6 linked regions of the Danio rerio genome follow. The protein of the gene in region 6 interacts with the protein of the main gene of each other region in a pairwise test. Links are inferred from orthologs where the notes say so. Each region holds a gene or a part of one and is shown on either strand. Other genes may lie near its edges.

The links.
Region 1: the proteins of ccdc146 (region 6) and tfip11 interact in binary tests that used the Homo sapiens proteins (3 or more experiments, as listed by UniProt). The two-hybrid records come from large-scale screens. The link is inferred for Danio rerio from reciprocal best matches to the Homo sapiens genes CCDC146 and TFIP11.
Region 2: the proteins of ccdc146 (region 6) and trim54 interact in binary tests that used the Homo sapiens proteins (3 or more experiments, as listed by UniProt). The two-hybrid records come from large-scale screens. The link is inferred for Danio rerio from reciprocal best matches to the Homo sapiens genes CCDC146 and TRIM54.
Region 3: the proteins of ccdc146 (region 6) and pde4dip interact in binary tests that used the Homo sapiens proteins (3 or more experiments, as listed by UniProt). The two-hybrid records come from large-scale screens. The link is inferred for Danio rerio from reciprocal best matches to the Homo sapiens genes CCDC146 and PDE4DIP.
Region 4: the proteins of ccdc146 (region 6) and necab2 interact in binary tests that used the Homo sapiens proteins (3 or more experiments, as listed by UniProt). The two-hybrid records come from large-scale screens. The link is inferred for Danio rerio from reciprocal best matches to the Homo sapiens genes CCDC146 and NECAB2.
Region 5: the proteins of ccdc146 (region 6) and ccndbp1 interact in binary tests that used the Homo sapiens proteins (3 or more experiments, as listed by UniProt). The two-hybrid records come from large-scale screens. The link is inferred for Danio rerio from reciprocal best matches to the Homo sapiens genes CCDC146 and CCNDBP1.

Annotation. Positions count from the first base shown.
Region 1 is NC_133198.1:20,764,276-20,768,338, reverse strand, and holds the start of tfip11 (tuftelin-interacting protein 11), read left to right. Parts: upstream 1-1,263; 5' UTR 1,264-1,316; exon of another isoform or gene 1,317-1,409; intron 1,410-4,063. UniProt on the Homo sapiens protein: Involved in pre-mRNA splicing, specifically in spliceosome disassembly during late-stage splicing events. Intron turnover seems to proceed through reactions in two lariat-intron associated complexes termed Intron Large (IL) and Intron Small (IS).
Region 2 is NC_133195.1:42,032,489-42,035,988, reverse strand, and holds part of trim54 (tripartite motif-containing protein 54), read left to right. Parts: intron 1-1,495; coding exon 1,496-1,668; intron 1,669-3,500. UniProt on the Homo sapiens protein: May bind and stabilize microtubules during myotubes formation.
Region 3 is NC_133195.1:37,876,440-37,879,939, forward strand, and holds part of pde4dip (myomegalin), read left to right. Parts: intron 1-726; coding exon 727-921; intron 922-1,350; coding exon 1,351-1,629; intron 1,630-2,147; coding exon 2,148-2,267; intron 2,268-3,500. UniProt on the Homo sapiens protein: Functions as an anchor sequestering components of the cAMP-dependent pathway to Golgi and/or centrosomes.
Region 4 is NC_133193.1:22,958,790-22,962,289, reverse strand, and holds part of necab2 (N-terminal EF-hand calcium-binding protein 2), read right to left. Parts: intron 2,921-3,500; coding exon 2,796-2,920; intron 1-2,795. UniProt on the Homo sapiens protein: May act as a signaling scaffold protein that senses intracellular calcium.
Region 5 is NC_133181.1:63,059,632-63,063,131, reverse strand, and holds part of ccndbp1 (cyclin-D1-binding protein 1 homolog), read right to left. Parts: intron 3,199-3,500; exon of another isoform or gene 3,133-3,198; coding exon of another isoform or gene 3,045-3,132; intron 2,293-3,044; coding exon 2,233-2,292; intron 2,150-2,232; coding exon 2,070-2,149; intron 1,978-2,069; coding exon 1,896-1,977; intron 946-1,895; coding exon 849-945; intron 458-848; coding exon 384-457; intron 1-383. UniProt on the Homo sapiens protein: May negatively regulate cell cycle progression. May act at least in part via inhibition of the cyclin-D1/CDK4 complex, thereby preventing phosphorylation of RB1 and blocking E2F-dependent transcription.
Region 6 is NC_133179.1:20,785,975-20,789,474, forward strand, and holds part of ccdc146 (coiled-coil domain-containing protein 146), read left to right. Parts: coding exon of another isoform or gene 1-8; intron 9-766; coding exon 767-991; intron 992-1,078; coding exon 1,079-1,307; intron 1,308-2,768; coding exon 2,769-2,888; intron 2,889-3,500. UniProt on the Homo sapiens protein: Essential for sperm flagellum biogenesis and male fertility.

The sequences.
Region 1 (4,063 bases), on a different chromosome or scaffold from region 6:
AACTTGTTATGCGAAATCTCTACAACAGCTGCGAGAAGACCCTAAAAGAAACCTGAAGAAAGGCTAAAACAGGTGCAAAAACACCCTGAATAGAATAAGCAACATTTTGATAATAACCAGTACAATAAACAATATTTCCAGGACCACCTAGACAACCAGTGTTTAGTATCAGACATGCACTTTTAAAAGCAGTACTAACCCGTCTCAGCCTGGGGCTGCTGCATCTCCTGCTCTGTAACAGGGACAGTTTCTGTGGCTTCGCCTGGCATTCTGGACTAAAACAGAAATGAGAAACAATACATTATAAGCTTTACAAAGTCTGCATGAAGGTTTAGACATGCGTTAGTCAGTGCTTTGTGTTAATGAGGCTTTTTCTATTGAAACAGCAGCACTCTAGGCCTCTTCCTGTAGGCCTCTGCTGGCTGTCAGCTGTCCCACTACCGGCTCAGTTAAACACTGCTGTTGTCTCAAAGTATTGAGCTACATGATAACATTTCACAAGGCCACCGAACAGAATTTGTGAGCTTTATCAATTGCAAACAGGCAAACTGAACAAATAAGGCTTATAACGTCCCCAAACAGTTCCACACACTGTTCATGTGTGCGCGTGCACTGTGTTGCACATTTCACGTGTGTATCTTAACAGAGGAGCTCTGACACGTTACTGCTGAATGAAAGAACCTCATTACACAAATTACAATAAAACTTTTTTAAAGAAATGAGTTTATAATCCTTTATAATGTAACGTTAGGTTATACTGTTGACACAGCATGCGTTTTTAGAAACGTTACATGTTTAGGCAGCGAAGTTAACTATCCAGCCAGTGTTTATTGTCGCACGTCACGCAACAACCTTTCGTACGATTAAATTACAGATTTCTCACAATATATCGCTATAGTTGTATATAGTGCAACTTTTTGCAGGGTTAACATTTTCGTTAGACACAAAGCCCACGGCTGAAGTATAGCGAGCGGTGGTGCGTCTCGCTCCCCCATTTTGAACAGTCAGCCAGTTGTAATCATCAACATATTTCCTCAATAAGCCAAGCAAATTTACAAATCTTTACCATTCCAAACACAGCTACACTAAAGCATCAGCATAAGCTACAAATTATGTATTGAATTGGCTAAAGCAACGTTGGATGACAATAGATTTTACGCAGGAGTACTCACTAGTTCAGGGCACAGGATCCAAGATGGCTGTGAGAGAGGGTTTCTGACCTCTGCGTCACTCTGATGTCACTGCTCTGCTTCCGGTCCCAACAGGAAGTCACTGTCGGATAAGCTGAAGTCTATAACAAGAAACCACATTTTCAGGTAATTCTGTCTACACACTGTTATTTTTAAACACAATAGTTTATTTCAGAGTTGACCATGACGGAATATTGACAATACCTGATTTAAGGGAAGGTATGTGTCTTTGTTTACAACAGAGTGGCATTGCTAAGCTAACATGATTTTTCTGGGAAACGTTTGCTTCACGCACTCTAAGTTACTAATCAGTTTTTGTCATCCGAGAACAGGGTCCGTGTATCATCCGTTCATTTGATTATTCCTTTTATTACGGAAAACGAAACATCAGAAAAACGATGAATATTTCGTTTTTCTGTTTATTCTGTAGGCAGAAAAAACGGAAACTCATCTGTTATTCTGCTTATTAACTTAAAACGAAATATTAAAACAAACACAAAACCAAAACGAAATAATGAGTCAAAAAATGGTCCGTGTACATTTTGTTCATTTTTTTTCCAGTTTCAAACGGAATAAAGGAAATGGAGAAAACTGCCGTTTTTCCGTTTTTCTTTTGCTCACGAGAAAACGAAAAAACAAGATTTTGGCTGGATTTTCGTTTTTTGGTTTAGGGTAGGAAAACGGATAAACGACTTTAAAATTCATTTTACACATGTAGGCGGTGCTGAAACGCCCACTTTCCTCTAATTGGTCAACCAAATCTGCGCTCGTGACGTCACCCTCAAAATAAAAGCCTTACACGCAGGCTTTTAATTATTATTATTTAATTATATATATATTAACTAAGTTTACAGATTCTATCATTTGAACCACACACATTTAGCAGGCTTACATTCATTGCGTATGTATAAATTAAATAAAAACGTAAATCAGCAGTATTCTTAGACATTTGTCATTAAAATAAGGTCATAGTTCACTGCCAAGCTTCTTGCTGCTGTGCACCTGATGCAGAGCAAAGATAGCCATTTCCGAGCAGCACCTGGTTTACATGATTGTTTCAGAGCTATTGTAGGCCTAAATAATAGCCTACTCTGTATAAAATAATAATTTATTATTATTATTATTATTATTATTATTATTATTATTATTATTATTAGGCCTATTATTAGCAGTATTGTTATTATTATTATTTACTTAGTTATTTAATGGTTGTAAGAACACAATGGACCCTGCATGGGGCTATAATAAATGGTACCTGTTTCTATTGGATTTTCTCCTATTTTAATTTAATATGTGCCTTTAGCCTATTGTAAATATTTATTTGATAATTAATACTTTTTTATTGCAACGTCAAAGTAGGCCTGTCTTATTATTATTATTTTTTGTTATTATTTTGTCGTTGTTGTTGTTATTATTATTGTAGCAGGGACATAGCCACAGGTGTGGCAGAGTGTGCTGGTGCCACCCAAAGTGGCATCTTGCACCTGAAAATAGATGCCTTCGCACTCAAGCACGCGCAAAAAAACTTGCACAGGCAAAAGTAATGATGAATGTGTTGAAGGAAAAAAAAAACATTCTAATTATTTGTTAATTAAATAGTGCAACATTATTCTCAGTCAGTGTAGGCTGAAAAAATTAAGATCGCCAGCATTTCAAGGGTGGTTTTATTTTTAGTTCATTGCTGTGACGCGCTATATTTCACTAAGGCTACATGAGACTGCGCATCTTGCTTATTTTCTCTATTTTACATACAGAACATATCATACAGTCCAGGTTCTACCGTTCTAGTGAGTGTGGGGCATTGCTTTACGGTGGTAAAGTGGATTATTTCTTGGCAAATTCATAATGATTCACTTTGTTTAGTAATAAATTTCATAGTTATAAAATAACTACATTTCAAGAATATGTTAACACTTTCAACTATTTAGGATTATTTATTGCATCAAAAGTAATTTCAAAGTAACATTAAATGTACGTATAAACTGCTTAATTTGTGTGTGTAAACACCTAAGATGCAAAAAGCTTATTTAGACCAGAATAGGCCTACTAAATGCAACGGTCAATGTATGTAAACTTATGACCTAAAATGTCTTAAATGACTAAATGTAAGTCTTTTTAAGTTTTTAAATAATTTAAGTTTAACATAAATGATTTAAACTTTAAACTTCAAATTAACAGAGTATGGCAAATAAATTGTTTATTAAATGGAGGTCAGGTGTCTATCTTAATTATAATTATTAAATATTATGACACTACAGTGGTGTATTGGAGAGTACGCACCTTTTAATTAATTAATTTTAAATAAGTGGTTTATCCTAAATAAAATGCAATGGGATCGGTGTGCAATGAATAGTTTGAAAACCCCTGGTTCAGACTAGACGAGCTAGCTGTCTGTGCGCTGCGCTAATAACTTGGCATTTGCTCTTTTCGGTGCTGCCAGATGCATTTATAGTGCATAAAAATAAAAAAGGTAATTCGGTAAAGCGCGCGATGCGCGCAGAAATAAGCGCACTATATGCATATGTCGAATTAAGTTCTCTTTTTCTTTAATCAAGACTTTTCCATTCGAGGAATTACAGTTATTAATAGCTTAATCCTTATAAACGATCAGTTTATAAAATACACAATTTACGGATCAAGCCTAATGAAGAATAAGAAGAATATGCAACGCATTATGATCCTTGAATGATCAGAGCGCATTTATATAAACTATATATTTTATATATTCCATAAATATTAAAAAACATTATACATTTAAAGTAATAAAACATTATATGTTATAAAATCTAAACTATTATTTAGGCTACAGGCTGTTCAGCGCGTGCGTCAAAGAAAAGACATGACACAATCTCTATAAAAACTAGTTGTTTATT
Region 2 (3,500 bases), on a different chromosome or scaffold from region 6:
TATATTGTCAGAAAAGTAACTATTCATACTCATTCACTGATATGTAAATGTAGATTTTTTTTTTTTTTTAAAGGAGATGTGCCTTCAAACTCCACTCCTGTCCCTACCCCTCATTGGTGGATGAGCAAATCAAACTGAAATGTATGAATGAGATTGAAATGAATATTTTATTAATTTCTCAGTGGATATAGGCAATGTATTTCGGTGCATGAAAAACAGATATAATTATTAAAATAATATTTTAGTCACCACACATATTTAGAAATCGAAAGATAATACAATAAAAAATCAAGCAAAATATACAAAAATAAATAAATAAATAAAAATACAACCTACAAAGTTTCAACAATTTTTTTTACTTATTTATTTAATCATTTTGCTTCTCTTGTTTTTTTCCTTTTTAAAAATTTTGTATTTAATATTTTTCTATAATAAAAATTTGGGTGTACTAGTTTTTGGATCGTTATCATATATGTTATTTTGTCAGACAAGCTCCAGATTTGGCTTCAGTACTGACTAATCTAATGTATATGCACAAATATAATATTATATAGCTTCCTATTAAAAACATGAATTTAAAAGATTTCTGTATGGTCAAAGTAACTTTAAAAAATTACTGTAATTTGTTTCAGCTAAATGTATTTATTGAGGGCACATAAGCAGTACCTGAAGATATCTTTGTCAGAGTAACTAATAGACTAACGTTACTGTTGTTAAAGCCTCGACCTGGCAGTATTACAAACATGTTTTAAAAAAGATATGTTGCCATCGCGAATGCTTTCTCATTCATTCATTCATTCATTTACATCTCGGCTTAGTCCCTTTATTATTAATTTGGGGTCACCACAGCGGAATGAACCACCAACTTACCCAGCATATGTTTTACACAGCGGATGCCCTTCCAGCAGCAACCCATCACTGGGAAACACCCATACACTCCCATTCACACACATAGTACACTACAAACAATTTAGCCTACCCAATTCACCTATAGAGCATGTCTTTGGACTTGAGGGGGACATACAAACTCCACACAGAAATGCCAACTGATCCAGCCGGGGCTTGAACCAGCGACCTTCTTGCTGTGAGGTGATCGTGCAACCCACTGTGCCACCATAACGCCCTGATGCTTTCTTATATAATATGGGAATGCTTCTCTTGTCTAAATAAAATTTACTTTGGCCACAGACTTTCTTCACATTTGAATCAAGTAATGGCAGATGGCAAAACATGACCTGGCGAGTTAAGTAAACATGAATTAGATTGTTATATAGAGTGTATTTAGAGTTACTATAATAAATAAGGTAACTTTTTTGCTTTAAAATCAGAATCCATAATTTTTCACTTAATCAAATATAAAAACGTACTTCAAATGAAAGACAAGGTAGATTCAGCACTTTTTTCAGTGCATTAAATGTTTAATGTCTGTGAAATGCTATTCCATCAAGTTGTTTGCTTTTAATGGCACCCCTTTTTTTGTCTTTCATTGCTCCAGGCCTCCAACCCTCTTTGGCAAAACCGGGCCTCAACCACTGTGTCCACAGGGGGGCGTTTCCGCTGCCCATCATGTCGCCATGAGGTGGTTTTGGATCGGCATGGTGTCTACGGCCTTCAGAGAAATCTGCTAGTGGAGAATATCATAGATATCTACAAATCAGAATCCACCAGGTCAGTCTTGTGTTGGGCTAGCCTGTGAACCAGTTCCAAGTTCCACCAAGGATAAACATTTCTCTTCTCGAAGCACTTACATTAATTAAGTCTATTTGCTGTTCATACTTCAAAGCCGTGTTCTGTATAGAGATCCAGCAACGCCCCAAGCTGTTGTGACACAACACTCTTGTGACACAACACTACAGTACCTGACACTTCTTCTGTTTCATCAATGAAGCTGAAACCCGGTGTAGTGACACATATATGTGATTTACTCTTATGTGGGAGATTTTCTGCCACGTCAAGTAAACACAAACAAAGACATGGGACCTGAGGCTCTGGTGACTGTAGCAATCGTTTGCCAAACCAGACTAAATATAACTAGGACGCTTTATCCCTGTGGCAATAAACAATGTGTCATGAGACCTCCTGTGAAAAATATGCGTAATTGGGTATAATAAGACTGATAGACTTTGAAGCCTTTTGTAACAAACGCTTTGTTTATTATGAATACATAATGTACATGGTCTTAGTGTCTTTGGTAAAAAGCCGGTACCTAAAAGAGGTTGTTTCAAAGGCACATTCTGATTGATGATGGGACATTTTCTCCATGCTTTTAAACCATTTTCCGCCATTTAATATGCTTCGTATGTATATAAAAGCACTTCTGAAATTTTAATTTGATGTGGACACTTAATAATTTTATTTAAATGATTATAACTAACTTATTTTATATCAAATATTAAGCAATTTTAGAATTAAAGTGTTTAGTTTAAAGAATTTTAAATGTAAAACGACAAAATTGCTCTTACTGTAAAACCTTTTATTAGACTGACCCACTTTTACTTTTAACTTACTATAAAAGGAAATTCAGCAAAGTTTTATCAGGAAAAGTGTTACAATTGTTATCATGTATTCAGTTTTAAAATCGTATCTAATTTATCTTGTGTTTATTTGTTTCTGGTCTTGTATTTACTTTTAATGAAATGTTTTCTCATGACTTTAGCCTTTGTTGGTGACATAACATTTCATTATTATTATTATTATTAATCCCATGCTCATCATCTGATGGTCAACTATTACTGTTGTCAATGAGACAGTAGCCTGGTTCCCTAAATTTAGTATGTTTGGTTATTAGTTGTACTAGTATCATGTGTTGTTGGATGAAATCCTAATGTCTGTGTGTTTCTATGTTCTGCTAAAAGCCAACATTCTTGTTAAGTTAGGCCCAGTAACCTTTCAATATTTTCCTGTTTAAAAATAGAAATAAAGAAATAACACAATATAGATAATATAGACATTTTTTATGGAACATTTACTTCCAGTTGTAGTTTGCCTTGTGTAATGCTGTATTGTCACTCAGAATTCCTGACACTGTGGAAGTAAATGCATTTTTTTTTACTATTTCCATTATTTCAAGAACTTATTCTAGAGCTGTCAAGAACTTGTCTATTACATAATCATAAAATTTATCCTTTAGCTTGATCATTTATGATTTGATAGCAATAGTTACACTATAAAACATTCTTGCTGCTTTATTTTATTTTAATTTAAACAAACTATTTTAGTCATCTCAATTTGCATAAGTCAAACTGACTAAAAATATAGTATTAAGGATTTAAGATTTATTTCGCTACGTAGGGAGCGGGGGTTTTATTTGTTGCATCGTTCCCTCATAGCAAACTAAGGCAAAGTATAGAACACAAAAAAGGTACTTGACTAAGTAAGAGATGCTATTAACAAAATGATAAACACAGTTGCTATAAAAGCCCTCAGATTCACGTCAACAAAAGGACCGTCACTCCAAAAACTGAAACACATGATCAGACTTTCATTAAAGATTACCAAAA
Region 3 (3,500 bases), on a different chromosome or scaffold from region 6:
AAGTTATTCCTGTAAAGGTTAAGCTGTTGTATTACACTATTTTTAAATGTCCCATAATCCTTTAGAAATCATTCTTATACAATGATTTTGGAGCACCATGATTAAAAATAATTCTTATTGTTTTCAATAAATTGTTTTCAGGAGTTTAAAAGAACGGCATTTATTTGAAATAAAAGTTTTTGTTACATTCTTAATACAAATATTTGAAGCAGCACATCTGTTTTCAACCTTTTATATTAATAAGAAATATTTCTAGATATATATGATGTATGATATAATATGTCTGAAGGATCATGTGGCACTTTAATTGTACTAATATATCACAATATTGCTATATGTTTAGCAAATAATAATCTAGATAAGACTACAAAGCAAACAAACAAAAACTCCATTGTTCCAATAAAGTCAAGTCAAGCTGAGCTTTATTGAACATACAGTGAAATGAAATGACAGAACCACTGTGCTATATAAAAAAACAAAATCATAAATACTGAATGTAAAACTATTTAATACCCATACAAAACCTATACATAGTTTACATACCGGAGCAGTAATCTAACTATACCAATTACTACCTATGCTTTTACTATAAATACTTAACTATACACATAACCTAAGACAGACTATACAAGTACTTTTACATAATACAGCACAATATTGTGCAAGATTTCTCTGGGATCATTAAATTCCGTTGGCCTCATTTTTATCTCGTTGACTTCTCTGCAGGAAATGACTGCAGTTTTGCTCAGTAAGGTGTCAGTCGGGGCCGGTGAGGTGGCAGAGGAGCTCAAGTCTCGGCTGCAGCTGAAGGAGCGCTTATTCCAGGAGCTTCTTTCAGACCGCAGCAGACAGACTCAAGAGCATCACTCACAGGTCCAGGACCTGCTCAACACCATCAGCTCAAGAGAGCATTACATCAAGGTGACATGCTATCACTCATCTAAAAATAAATATATTTTATACATTTGAAGTCAAAATTATTGGCCCCCCCTATATACTTTCCCCCGATTTTTGTTAAACGGAAATAATTTTTTCAGCACATTTCTAAATGTACTGTGATAGTTTTAATAACTCTCTTTTATCTTTGCCATGATGACAATAAATATTTTATAATTTTTTTTTTAAAATACTAGTACTCAGCTTAAAGTGACATTTAAATGCTTAACTTATAGTATATATCGTGACAAATTCCTTGCTCTTTTAAACATCATTTGGGAAATATTTGACAATAATTTTGACTTCAACCTTATATTTAATAAAATTTATCTTTAATATATATATAAGTTAATCCAATGTGCCTTCTGGACTTTAAATTTCTTTTTTTTTTTTACATCACAATCAATCTCGCAGGATTCGGCAGGGCGTGTAGGTCAGGTTATGGCCGAACAGACAGCTCGATTGCAGGAGCTACGAAAGCAACTCGGGTCAGCAAACCCTGAGTTGACCCAAGAAGACACACAAGCACTTATGGATGAGCTCCAGATGACTCTGCGCAGAGAAAGAGAAGCCCAGACCCAGCTCAGCATCCTGCGTGCCACCTTAGCATCCTACCAAGACCAGCTCCAAACCCAAACCTCAGATCTAGATGCCTTGAGCAGGACAGCGAGCGTCAAAGAGGAAATCATCAAGGTTTGTGTGCTAGTCTTTTACAATGGGGTATATGCACAGCTAGTGTTTTTCACCCACCGATAAACTTCCTGTGAAAGTTTAATGTGACTATTTTCAATTACATACGGTTCCTTTTACAGCATCAATGTTGTAATGTAATTAAAATCCATTCATTTAAATAGACTTAAGCATTCATTTAGTTGTTAAAGAGTACAAAATTTTAAACAGAAGCGCCGTCAGAAGCACCAGACAAGTGCAGGAACCATTGAAAATAACTGTGGTAAAATAAATTTCCATATTTTAAAGACATGGCATGAAACAATGTAGTTTAAAGCAGTGCTTCTTGTACAGTTTGAGACCCTCTTTATATTGTATATCAATCAGGCAGTGAAGGTCACTGATTTTTAAAGAAAACAGACCTTAAACACAGAAATAAACCGGAATTGCTTGTACTGGGTTACTGAAAATTTAAAAGTCCTTGTGCATATAGCCTATAGTCTTTCTTTTTTTGAGATATATTGAACACATTTGTTTATCAGGACCTTCAGATGCAGTTGGTGGAGCCATCTGATTTACCACTGGTAGAGCGACTGACTCAAGAGCTGCAGCTGCTGAGAGAGAAGGTGGAAAGTCAGGAAGCGTCCTGCAATAATCACAAGGTATTTAAAGGGTCACGAAACACCAAAACACATTTTTTGAGCTTTTGACAGTCGTATATGTGTCCCACACTGCTAAAAACACTATTAGGACACCTATATTTCACTAAAAAGTGTAAATTGGTTGTTTTTGCGTTATTTCAAGCAAATGCGTACTTCCTGTTTGAAACGAATTTTTGAAGCTGCGTCACGGTCATGACATAATAGCGTGTATTCCAGCGTGCAGACTGGGCGTCTGTGCCTGAGTGAGTCTTATTACGTCTTACAGTGTGATACATTAATGCATGAGTAAGGCTTGGTTCAAACCAATCAGCGCGCTCTATTGTGCAACTTCATTAATATTCATTTGTGTCACCGTGTTTACACCACAAAGACGCCACGTTGTGTTGGCAAAACAAGCGTGAAGTGTTACTTTTATAGTTTGCTGCCGTTAAGTTTCGTTTTCATTTTCTCTCTGTGAGAGCTTATCTGGATCACGTGTGGATTAACAGTGTACGCAACGCTCGACAACAATAATTTACGTGTCTAAGGAGGATTATTGTTTACCTGAGAGCTGTTCTCATCTGCAAACGCTGAAATCTGGATTTGCTTGTAGTATTCTCTCCATAAAGACGCGGCTCTAGTTGCTGGTGATTGTCCTGTCTCTACAGATTTGGTAAGTGAGCGACCAGTGCTCTTTGTTTATTCAGTTTGCTCGTATCGAATTAAGTTAACTATAGCACTGAGTGCAGAAATGTTAGCACCGCATTTAGTGACCGGAATAACACACGCGGCTTTCTGACGCTACCTGCCGTGTGCATCTAAGTTTCCGGGAAATGCGGAGTTTTTTTTTCTCTCATTTGCCGTGCGGTATCAAACATTGCATGAAAAATACACGCTTAGAGCAGTTCCTCGAATCAAATACCTCGTTTGTCGCGAGGGGCATGAATGAATTCCCTGAATGAAAGAGCCAAACTGCAGTTAAAGTCCAACATTTATTAATTCAGCAAATAATTCGACTACAGATGTCCATGTAGGTTAAACACCATCGCTTTCTCCTGTCTCTCTGTGTGTGTGTGTGTGTGTGTGTGTGTGTGTGTGTGTGTGTGTGTGTGTGTGTGTATTTTGACTCTGAAACTCGCGCGTGCACAAATAGACACTCCCACACCCTCCCACTTTAGTTCCTCCGACACTCCCCCCTAAACAGAGCTGGACACGCCCACTTTTCTGACTTTTTCGAAAGTAGAGGTGTGAAAA
Region 4 (3,500 bases), on a different chromosome or scaffold from region 6:
TTTGTTTAACAGAACAAAAATCTTGAATTGGTTTGGGACAAGCCAAGGGAGACTAAATGAAGACAGACTTTTCATTTTTGGGTGAATAATCCCTTTAATACCAGGTAAAGCAAGCCTGACATCAGACAGCTACAACTCCAAATAAATCCAAGTGTTTGAATCTGCAAAAATGCCTGAATTGCCTGGCTGATCTGATAAAAAAAAAAAAAAAAAACTGAGTGGCTGACTATTCTATTAGAACTTAGAGGAAGTGGAAAGTGAGATGGACATTTCAAATATAATCATATACTCCCTTTCTCTGTGAAACAGAAGAAAAAGAAAAGCACTAGAATTAATTTGCTCCCATATCTCTGGGCGCCCAGTTACTGACTGAAACACTGGAAAGCTTTGAGGGAGACCTTTTTTCCACCATCTCCTCATTAAAAACTCACACATTTCTTCAGTTGCATCATCCATATGAGACTGTCGTGAGCTTGTGGTTTGTGCTGACTTGGCACACGAATGGCTTTGCGTTGTTTTACTGTCTCTTCAGAGTGGTTTCATAACCAACACACTGCAGCTCAGGCACAAATCTCATCAGTAATGGAAATGTGGAGTGTGTTGATAGAGAAAGCCCACGGGAGAGCCGGCGAACCACATCTTTGACAAACTTTAACTGTGCCTTCAGCAATTAGATGGTGTGAGGAATGATAAATGCAGATGTTTTGTGTGATAATGCAGTTGGCTAGCAAGCCTGGACCACAAACAAGAACCTTGCTGAATTGATTAATGTAATGTTTGGAAAAACACAGCTCATGATGAATAGAAGCAATAAAGCAAACACTCCAAAAACAGCATTAAACAAGTCCTTGAGTAAAGCTCGAGTACAAGACTGCAAGAAAAAATTGTAAGTGTGGCTAAAATCAGGCCTAATCCATGTGCCAATTTTACTAAAACATACTAATCCATGTGCTTTTTCACAACAGACACTGACAGCAGAACAATGACTTTCTCTAAAAGATTTTTTTCTGAGATTTTCAGTGTATTCAATAACTTTTGATTGATAGTAAAATAACTTAGGTAAATGCAGCATGATGGTTCAGTGATTAGCAATCTTGCCTGACACAAGGTTTCTGTAGGTTAATTAAGTCAAATTTAAGACTTTTAAACCCTTTTAAGACCATTATATATGATGTTTTAGACTTACAGAGAACTAAACACTAAAGATTTTTTTTCTAATAGCCCAATTACTTTAGTAAATAGTTTTTATATTAATGGAAGATCATGTAAAGAGATGTGTTGCTTTAGTTTTCCTAATATATAATGCTTTATACACAATTGAAGTCAGAATTATTAGCCCCCCTGAATTATTAGCCCCCATGTTTATTTTTTCCCCAATCTCTGTTTAACGGAGAGATTTTTTTCAACATATTTCTAAACATAATAGTTTTAATAACTCACTTATTTTATCTTTGCCATGATGACAGTAAATAATATGTCACTAGATATTTTTCAAGACACTTCTATACAGCTTCAAGTGACATTTAAAGCCTAAACTATGTTAATTAGGTTAAGAAGGCAGATTAAGGTAATTAGACAAATTATTGTATAATGATGGTTTGTTCTGTAGACTATCAAAAAAAAATAGCTTAAAGGGGCTAATAATTTTGTCCTTAAAATGTTGTTTAAAAAATTAATAACTTGCTTTTATTCTAGCCAAAATAAAACAAATAAGACTTTCACCAGAAGAAAAAATATTATTAGACATACTGTGAAAATTTCCTTCATCTGATAAACATAATTTGGGAAATATTAAAAAACAAATTTAAAAACTCAAAAGGCTAATAATTTCTAATAACTTCAACTTTATATTAAACTTAAAATTAAGTGTTAGACTTGTGAATATGTTAAATACATTATTGTACCTTTAACCATATAATACCTACTGTTACATATCTGCATGTATTTAAGGCTTCACAATTGTCAAAGCTTTGCTGTCCCAAGTCATACACATACTGTTTTTCATCCCATTCATTTAGGTAACATATATTTTATTTTGTTTTCCAGATATACTGTAAAAGGTAACTTATACCCATTTTGCATTACATTACATGTGTCTCCACAATAAATAATACAGAGCTTTGATGGTAAAGCTAAGCATTTAAATACTGTATCATCTTACTAAGATGTATTATTTGGTAGACATTGAGCGACAACTGATATTTAGATGCATTTTATCTAAGTAGTCTTCTATAATGTTAAAAGGATCTTATTGATTTACATTACAAGCTATCATAAGTCCAGCTTTCTTTTTAAGCTTACCATATAAATATCAGCATTTTTTTTGCTCCTTTCAGGCCTTTGAATGAAATTACCGTGTTTTTCACCTCCTATATAAGCCATTAAAGTCTGGTGTGTATTATGTGATGCTTAAAAACTCACACCGTATGCATTATTTTTGGAACTGCACTGCAAAAATGCCTTTCAGTCAAGAAGCATTTTCTAGAATTAAAAACAAGCAAAATGATCTTGTTTTTTCTTTTGACATAAGTTTATTTTGCTTGCTCCACTGGCAGATTATTTTATGTGTTTTAGGAAAAAACTCACTTAATGTTGACATAATATTTCTTAAAACAAGATAATAACTTTTGCTTGTCTAGAAAATGTTTCTTAATTTAAGAATTTTTGAATTTTTAGACTAGAAACAAGACTAAAAATCCAAGTAAGAAAATAAACCTAAATTATGCCTTTTGTAAACAACTAATAGTGTGTTTTGTTTTCAAAAGGAGGTGTTTGGAGACATGTAATCCCCTCACCTGCACCTGTGTTGATGTTCCTCATGCTCTCCTTTGCACTGACTCTGTTGTTGGGAGGATAATCTGGCACCGGTGCCTCATAGCGTCGATCTGGGACGCGTGGGCTGGTCTTACTGGGGTAAGATCTAGGTCATAACAGGGAAAACAAGGACAAGGAATACAGATGGTTAAAGAATATTTCAAATTTTCCCTCACCATTTACTCACACTCAAGTGGTTATAAAACATTTATGATTTTTTTTTATTTTATTAAAAATTTTTGGGGGAAAGCAACCATTGACATGTAGAAGCAAAAATACTATGGAAGTCAATGAGCCCTATCATACACCCGATGCAATAAGGTGCAAGATGTACAGATGTTACTACTTCAATGTGTTCCTTGTGCCGCCATTCATGCCGCGGCGACGGCGGTACTTGATGCGCCAGCAGCATTTGACCGCTGGGTGGCACTTTAACCACAGATATTCAGCTTTGCCTTTTCACAATGCTAAACAGACTGTTCTGTAGGCGTAGCTTACTGTATGTGATGTGATGTGTTCAATTAAAATATAATTTTAATTTAGTTTTTCTGGTAATAGACATGCTCTTACACTATCCTATGCTGTAGAAAAGATACATGGTGAGAAGTCAAAAAGCAGATATAAGAATTAAGTTATTAGCCTTCAGTGCCCGATTAAATTGCGTTATGGTGAAAATAATGTTTTGA
Region 5 (3,500 bases), on a different chromosome or scaffold from region 6:
CAGAGATGAGCTAATTATTTTACAAAAATGATCGTTTGGCAGAACTGACTGCATTCCCACAGCTCAGCAGTTCCAGCATTCCTCTGGCATCAAACCCAAGACTGCTGTTGCAGGAGCTTTATTACAAAACAACACTGATGTCTCAATGAGCCACACAGAGACTGCTTTACATGCACTAAAACACCCCTCATTTGAATGTGGATGCACAACCTTACAGATTTAGAAGCAGCTTTAATTTACTAGCAACACTAGTCATCTCTGCCGGACAATCTGAAATATTGTATGCATTTTTATTCTCTAGTCTTCATCTGCACTGTAAGAAGCGCTATAGAAATAATGATGGACGGAACTGAAGGACTCCAGCACAAGTTGTTTCTAGATACCTTTGGGTATCTGGTCAAAATGGTCACATGCGGCCCAAACACTCCCGGTGGAGGTGAGCTGCTCCTGCGAGACACTGGGGGAACACAGGAGAATGTAAACACAGTAAATGAACACAGACAGATTATAAACACACACAGGTTGTTTAAACAGTATATAAACACAGACTGATCATCATATCATCACTATATCCCATCATCATCTGATCATCCTGATACAGCACTGAAGAGCAGACACTGATGAAGCGCTGGCGCACATGCACACTCACTACAGCTGATCACAGCACAGCTTATCTGCAGTTTCTCTCACTGGACACAAGGTTTACCCTACTCACTTTATGCACATTTTCAAAATGTATGCACATCTTGGATTTCCATTAAGTGTTTTTTTCTGAAATAATCCAAAATGTGCATAAAAACAGGTGGATGGAAACACAGCTAGCGAGGGCCTCAGAGGACGAGTTCTACCTTTGTCCAGGTGAGGACAGAATGACATCCAGCAGCTGAACCAGACCCTCCAGAACCTCAGCGGTGGCGTCCCTGACAGACCTCCTCAGTGTGACTCCTGGACACACGTGCGCGCAAACACACACACGAAAACATATATACACACACACACACACACACACAATCATGTACAGACACGTGCATACACAAATATCCACAAACATACACACACACACAATCATAAACAGAAGCACGCACACACAAAGAAACATTTACAAACATGCACCAAAAAAAACACACAAACACACATAAACAAATACACACACATGCAAAATGGCACAGATACACACGGAAATACACACAACCAAACAAACACAAAAACGTGTATATATACACACACACATGCACAAACACAAAAACACAAACATGCATGCACAAACACACAATCATGTACAGACACGTGTATACACAAATATGCACAAAAACACACATACATCATGTACAGGCACGCATACACAGAAACATGCACAAATATGCAGAAAAAAAGACACAAACATACATTACACACATGCAAAAAGACACACACACACACAAACACAGAAAACACAAACAAAAAAACACACACATTTGCACAAAATCACACGTCAGACACACAGAAACAGAAACACACATGCACACGCACACACACACAAACACGCACACACACAGACACACACACACACACACATACACAGTCTAATGAGTTTCTCAATAATCAGGTCAGAGGTCATGAGACGGTTTGTGTAATCCACAAATGAGCAAATGCAGCTGAGCAGCTCCAGAAGAGCTTCATACTGAACACAGACACCACAGAACACTGCACTGCTTTTGATTTTGGACTTCAGTATCCTTGTAAAATTATGATTACGCTCAGTTTTCTTTTACGTTTTTAGAATTACTTAATTACGCACTAAATATTTACGATAGTGTTTTTATTTCATACATTTTTACAGCTTGAGCATGTGTGTGTGTGTGTGTGTGTGTGTGTGTGTGTGTGTGTGTGTGTGTGTGTATGTGTATATCTGTTACCTTGACTCTTTGGCAGCCAGAAGTAAACGGTGCACAAGGTCAACACACTCTTCTGCACACAATCCCCCATTTTTGCACAATCCTAAAGCGAAGAAACACAACAGCAGCAGCAGCATTACTGATGGACAAATGACAGGATAGTTATAGTGATGTTCAGAAGGGGGTTAATCACACCTCGTCTGACGGCAGTGGCGGCTTGGAGAACATCAGGCTGAGTTTAGTCGCTTCTTGAGACACTGCTTTTACAGCTTCATCTGCGGAAAGAGAAGAGCTGGAGTGAGTCATTCAGCGATTCAGAAGAACATGATTCAGATTCAGAATCAAACACTGAACGAACTCAGAATCTCCCAGAAGTTGGCCAAGCTGAAGGTGCCGCTGCTGTCGTTGGACTCTCCATCTGCAAACACAATCAGAAACACTGTGGGCTTCAGCACATCACTGACAACATCTCATTCAAATTACTATTAACTATATCTGTTAAACTAGAGTAAACATCATGACTAGCACTCTGACCAGCTAACTATATCTGTTAAACTAGAGTAAACACCATGACTAACACTCTGACCAGCTAACTATATCTGTTAAACTAGAGTAAACACCATGACTAGTGTTCTCACCAGCTAACTATATCTGTTAAACTAAAGTTAACATCATGACTAGCGCTCTGAGCAGCTAACTATATCTGTTAAACTAGAGTAACACTCTGACCAGCTAACTATATCTGTTAAACTAGAGTAAACACCATGACTAACACTCTGACCAGCTAACTATATCTGTTAAACTAGCGTAACACTCTGACCAGCTAACTATATCTGTTAAACTAGAGTAAACATCATGACTAGCACTCTGACCAGCTAACTATATCTGTTAAACTAGCGTAACACTCTGACCAGCTAACTATATCTGTTCAACTAGAGTAAACATCATGACTAGCACTCTGACCAGCTAACTATATCTGTTAAACTAGCGTAACACTCTGACCAGCTAACTATATCTGTTCAACTAGAGTAAACATCATGACTAGCGCTCTGAGCAGCTAACTATCACCGGTTAAAGTGTTTTCGTGAGTGTTTTGGAAGTTTAGCCGTTAGCATTCCCACAAACACTGCTCAAATACACAATGAAACACGGAATACAGGACCACCATACCTCTCACTCGATCCCTGCTGCACTTCACCGAGTTCCAGAGGTTTCTCAGCGGAAGCAGCGCTTCTGAACGCGAGTTTTCGCCGCTCATGACGCGCTTTGCTTCAGTTTCGTGGAGCCGCGGAACGAAAGTCAAGCGGAACTAATATTGTCTGAGTGTGACCGGAATGAATCCGTCGCTGCACAGTCAGCTTGGTTGATACTTTTTGAATGTTTGTTTGTAATTATATACATTTTGAAGTGTTAAACCAATATAATTGTTTACTTCTGTATTACTGGTGTAGTTTGGTCAATTGGTGAAGTTTGTTCCTCCGCTGTCGCCACTGGCTTGTCTGGTTCGGGACCTGTGGAGCTGTGGATGGATTTGCTCTTCAGTGTTTGTTTGGACTCTCAGCAGTGTAGATTTAACCACACTGAACTGAACTAAGCAGAACTTCAACTCTGAACACTGGACTGAAA
Region 6 (3,500 bases):
AAAGACAAGTTCCTTACCTTTCACATGCATATTCTTATTCTTTTAACAATCTGACTACCTACCACAAAGTAACACTTACCTTTACTGTGAAGTGCTATGAGTGTGCATATTTGCTCGAAGTTTGGCATTATTTGAACTGAGATATGGTGGTAGGGTGGGACATAATGTAGTTCCTGTCTCTTTAAAAAAAACAGCCAATAGTGTTTTGAGTCCCGAGTTAAACTCAAACTCATATATAGCATATATAGAGTCCTAAAGGGACAGGACATGTCAGACACTAGAGAGTATTTGTTTGGTCTGAAGATTTAATGAGAAACTGAAATATTAATTTACATCAAAAACATTTTGGTTTATCCATTTAGGCAAAATTATTTTAATATGTTTATATTTTCTTAATGTAAATCTTGTCACTGTTTTGGAGCACACTACATTACAGATATTCTTAAGACTAACATACTGATACTGACATCTGCTTTCTTTTGATGTCACTGGGACATTAAAGATTGCTCAACAATGAGATTTATTTTCGCTTGTATGGTTGAGTTTCTGTTTGTGTTCAAACTAAATGTTGTGTGATCCAAACTAAATCCAATGTGAGGCCACTGTAAAAAAATATTGACAAAAAGTCATGACTACAAATGTTTAAATTAAATATAAAAAAAATATTTTAAGTCTGTTTGATTAATGTAAGTTGAGATGGTAATTTTAATCAACTAAAAAAATTAAGGTAGCAAGAATTTTCTAAGGGTCCTTTTATTTCCTGCAGGTTACTGCAGAGATCTCGTCTACAACACTCTCACAGCTACAAGCTAAGAGACGATCTGAAGAAGGAGGTCTCACAGACATTACAGGCTTTGCAGGAGATGCAACAAAATCGAGAGGAGCAAAAACTAAAACTCAGGAAGCTCACGGACACCGTGAACATGCTAGAGCAAAAAAAGCTACATATCTGCAAGCGCTATGAGGCCGAACTGCAAAAGCGGAATCAAGAGTGAGACATAGAGTCTGGGGGATACAAATCTGGCAGGTGAATTCTCACAGTCTGTGCTGATATTTCTATCTGTGTTTTTGTTGTCAGGTCTGTGCAGCTTGCAGAAAGAGAGAAGGAATGGCGTATTTTCAATGAGAAGCTTGGTGTACTGGTGAAAATGACTGAAAACAGCAACTTGGAGATGTATGACATGGAAGATGAAATCAGAAACTTGAAAATGGAACAGAAAGAAGAAGAAAGACAGAATGATCTGCACAAAAAGCAGTTGTCAAACAAACTAGCTCTGGAGGAAGAGCGTGTCTTATTACAGATACAGGTACCTGGATCACAATTTTGAAACCACTGTGAAACATTTATCTGTTAAAAAAATTGCATCAGATGCACACAAATATGTGAATCAAGTGCCAACAATACAATCTCTAACAGAGCAAACAAACACAGTGGAATGCAAGTAAAGGTTAGATTTAATGCCTTCTAAAGTGCCACACATACCCACACACAGAGAAGTGTTGTTTTTACCATTTATAGTCCCTTCTGTAAATGAAATAAACCATCTCAGTGAAAATCCGCCTGATAGGTTTATAGACCTCTGTGTTTAAACAACAGAGTCTCTGCATATCAACATTTACTGCATTAGAACAGATCAAATAAACAGTACTAAGACTTTACAATAAAAAATGCCTCGTCCTTAGATACCAGGCAATGACAAACGGTACTGTAGTTGAAGCACATCTTTTCACATCACGTACATTTGTCAAAAATACAACAAAGTTGATACTCTGACATGAGCATCAGTTAGCATATTATAATCATTTCTAAAAAAAAATAACATTGCCATAAACGAAATAAAAGTCATTACTCTATATTTCTATCAAATGAGAGAGTATGAAAAACATTTAAACATCGTACTGATTTCAAACCATTGAACAGTAGTGTAATAATTAAAAAAAGGACTTTGCAAGAAACATTGGATGTAATAAGTAGAATGTTCAAAATAGAATGAGAAGAATTTAGAGGTACAAAATATTTTTGTGAGTAGATGCAAACATGTGATGATGTCTTGGTTTATATTGGGCATCACAGGATGTCCTGTACCAACACTTGTATAAGACCCTGGACAAGCCAAGAAAATCATCCTACTCTTCATGGAATGTCAGGAAAACTGCCAAGCAGAAACAAAGGATTAAGACTCTGCACCCAAACATCGTCTTCACCATCCCACCTTCTATTACTGTATTTCATTAGGTTTCTCTAGAAGGCTTTCATTCATCTGCTTGTGCAGAACTAAAAGATGACCTTTAACTCCTTGGCTTGTCAATGTGTTGTGGGCTCGTGTGTTGCTCTTTCTGGCTTAAGTCTTACATATTTCCTAATATCTTACAAGGATAAACATCTAGCACTGGATTTTAACCTAAGACATTTTTACATCATGATTTATTTAGCACATAATTAAGACAAGCAACATACAGCAATTCTTGATCGATTTAAGTTGGTTTTATGTTGTTTGTGGAGACAATTCAAATCATTGCTCTCTCAAATGAGCACAACAAAACAAGAATCTCTTCTCATGTTGGCACCAGATGATTTCTCTGTTTTGTGACAAGCACAGTGACACATCTGCCGCCAGCTTGACGCTGTCTAACCAGTCATAAATAAGACAGAAAATACATCTGTTTTGCTGTGTACGGACTGTGCATGTGTAATGAAACAAAGGGTTTTAAATGAGTCCACTGTTTTAATTGTGTCCTGATGGTGTGGCTGTTTTTCTGTGTCATAGTTGTCTGAGATAAATGACAGAGTGTCTGAGCTGGAAGAGGCTTGTGTGGACGATAACAGAGCAAGAAACCTGAATGGAGAAGATCCATCTCCTGAGGAGCTCATTGAGAAGATTGAACAGGTAAAATATTTGTTAATAATTTGGGGTTTAATAACTTGATGGAGAGTTTATTTTCCTTTTCCTAACCACAATTACAAATTTCAATGGAATTACCAGAACTTTAGGAATTAATCACTTTTTATTATTAATTTAAAGATTATTATTTATTTTTTTTTGCAGGACTTGGTTTACAAGTTTTAAATTATTTAATCACATCAAATCATTTTTGGTGTTGTAAAATACATACAAATAATGGAATGTTACAATTATTTACTAATTATCATTTTCAATCATATTTTCTGTCCCTAAACTGGTTTGTGTTACAGTATACAAATATATTGTAAGTCACACTTTACAATAAGGTTTCATTATAATTATAAGTTAATGTATTTACTAACATGAACTAATTATGAGCAATACTTGAACAGCATTAATTAATAATAGTTTAACATTTACTAATGTATTATTAACATTTTAATTCAGGCTGTTAACATTAGTTAATGCTCTGTGAGTTAACATGAACTAACAACGAATAACTGTATTTTTATTAACTAACATGTAGAAATACTGTAATAAATGTATTGTTCATTGTTTGATCATATTAGTAAATACAACCTTATGTTAAAGTGTTGC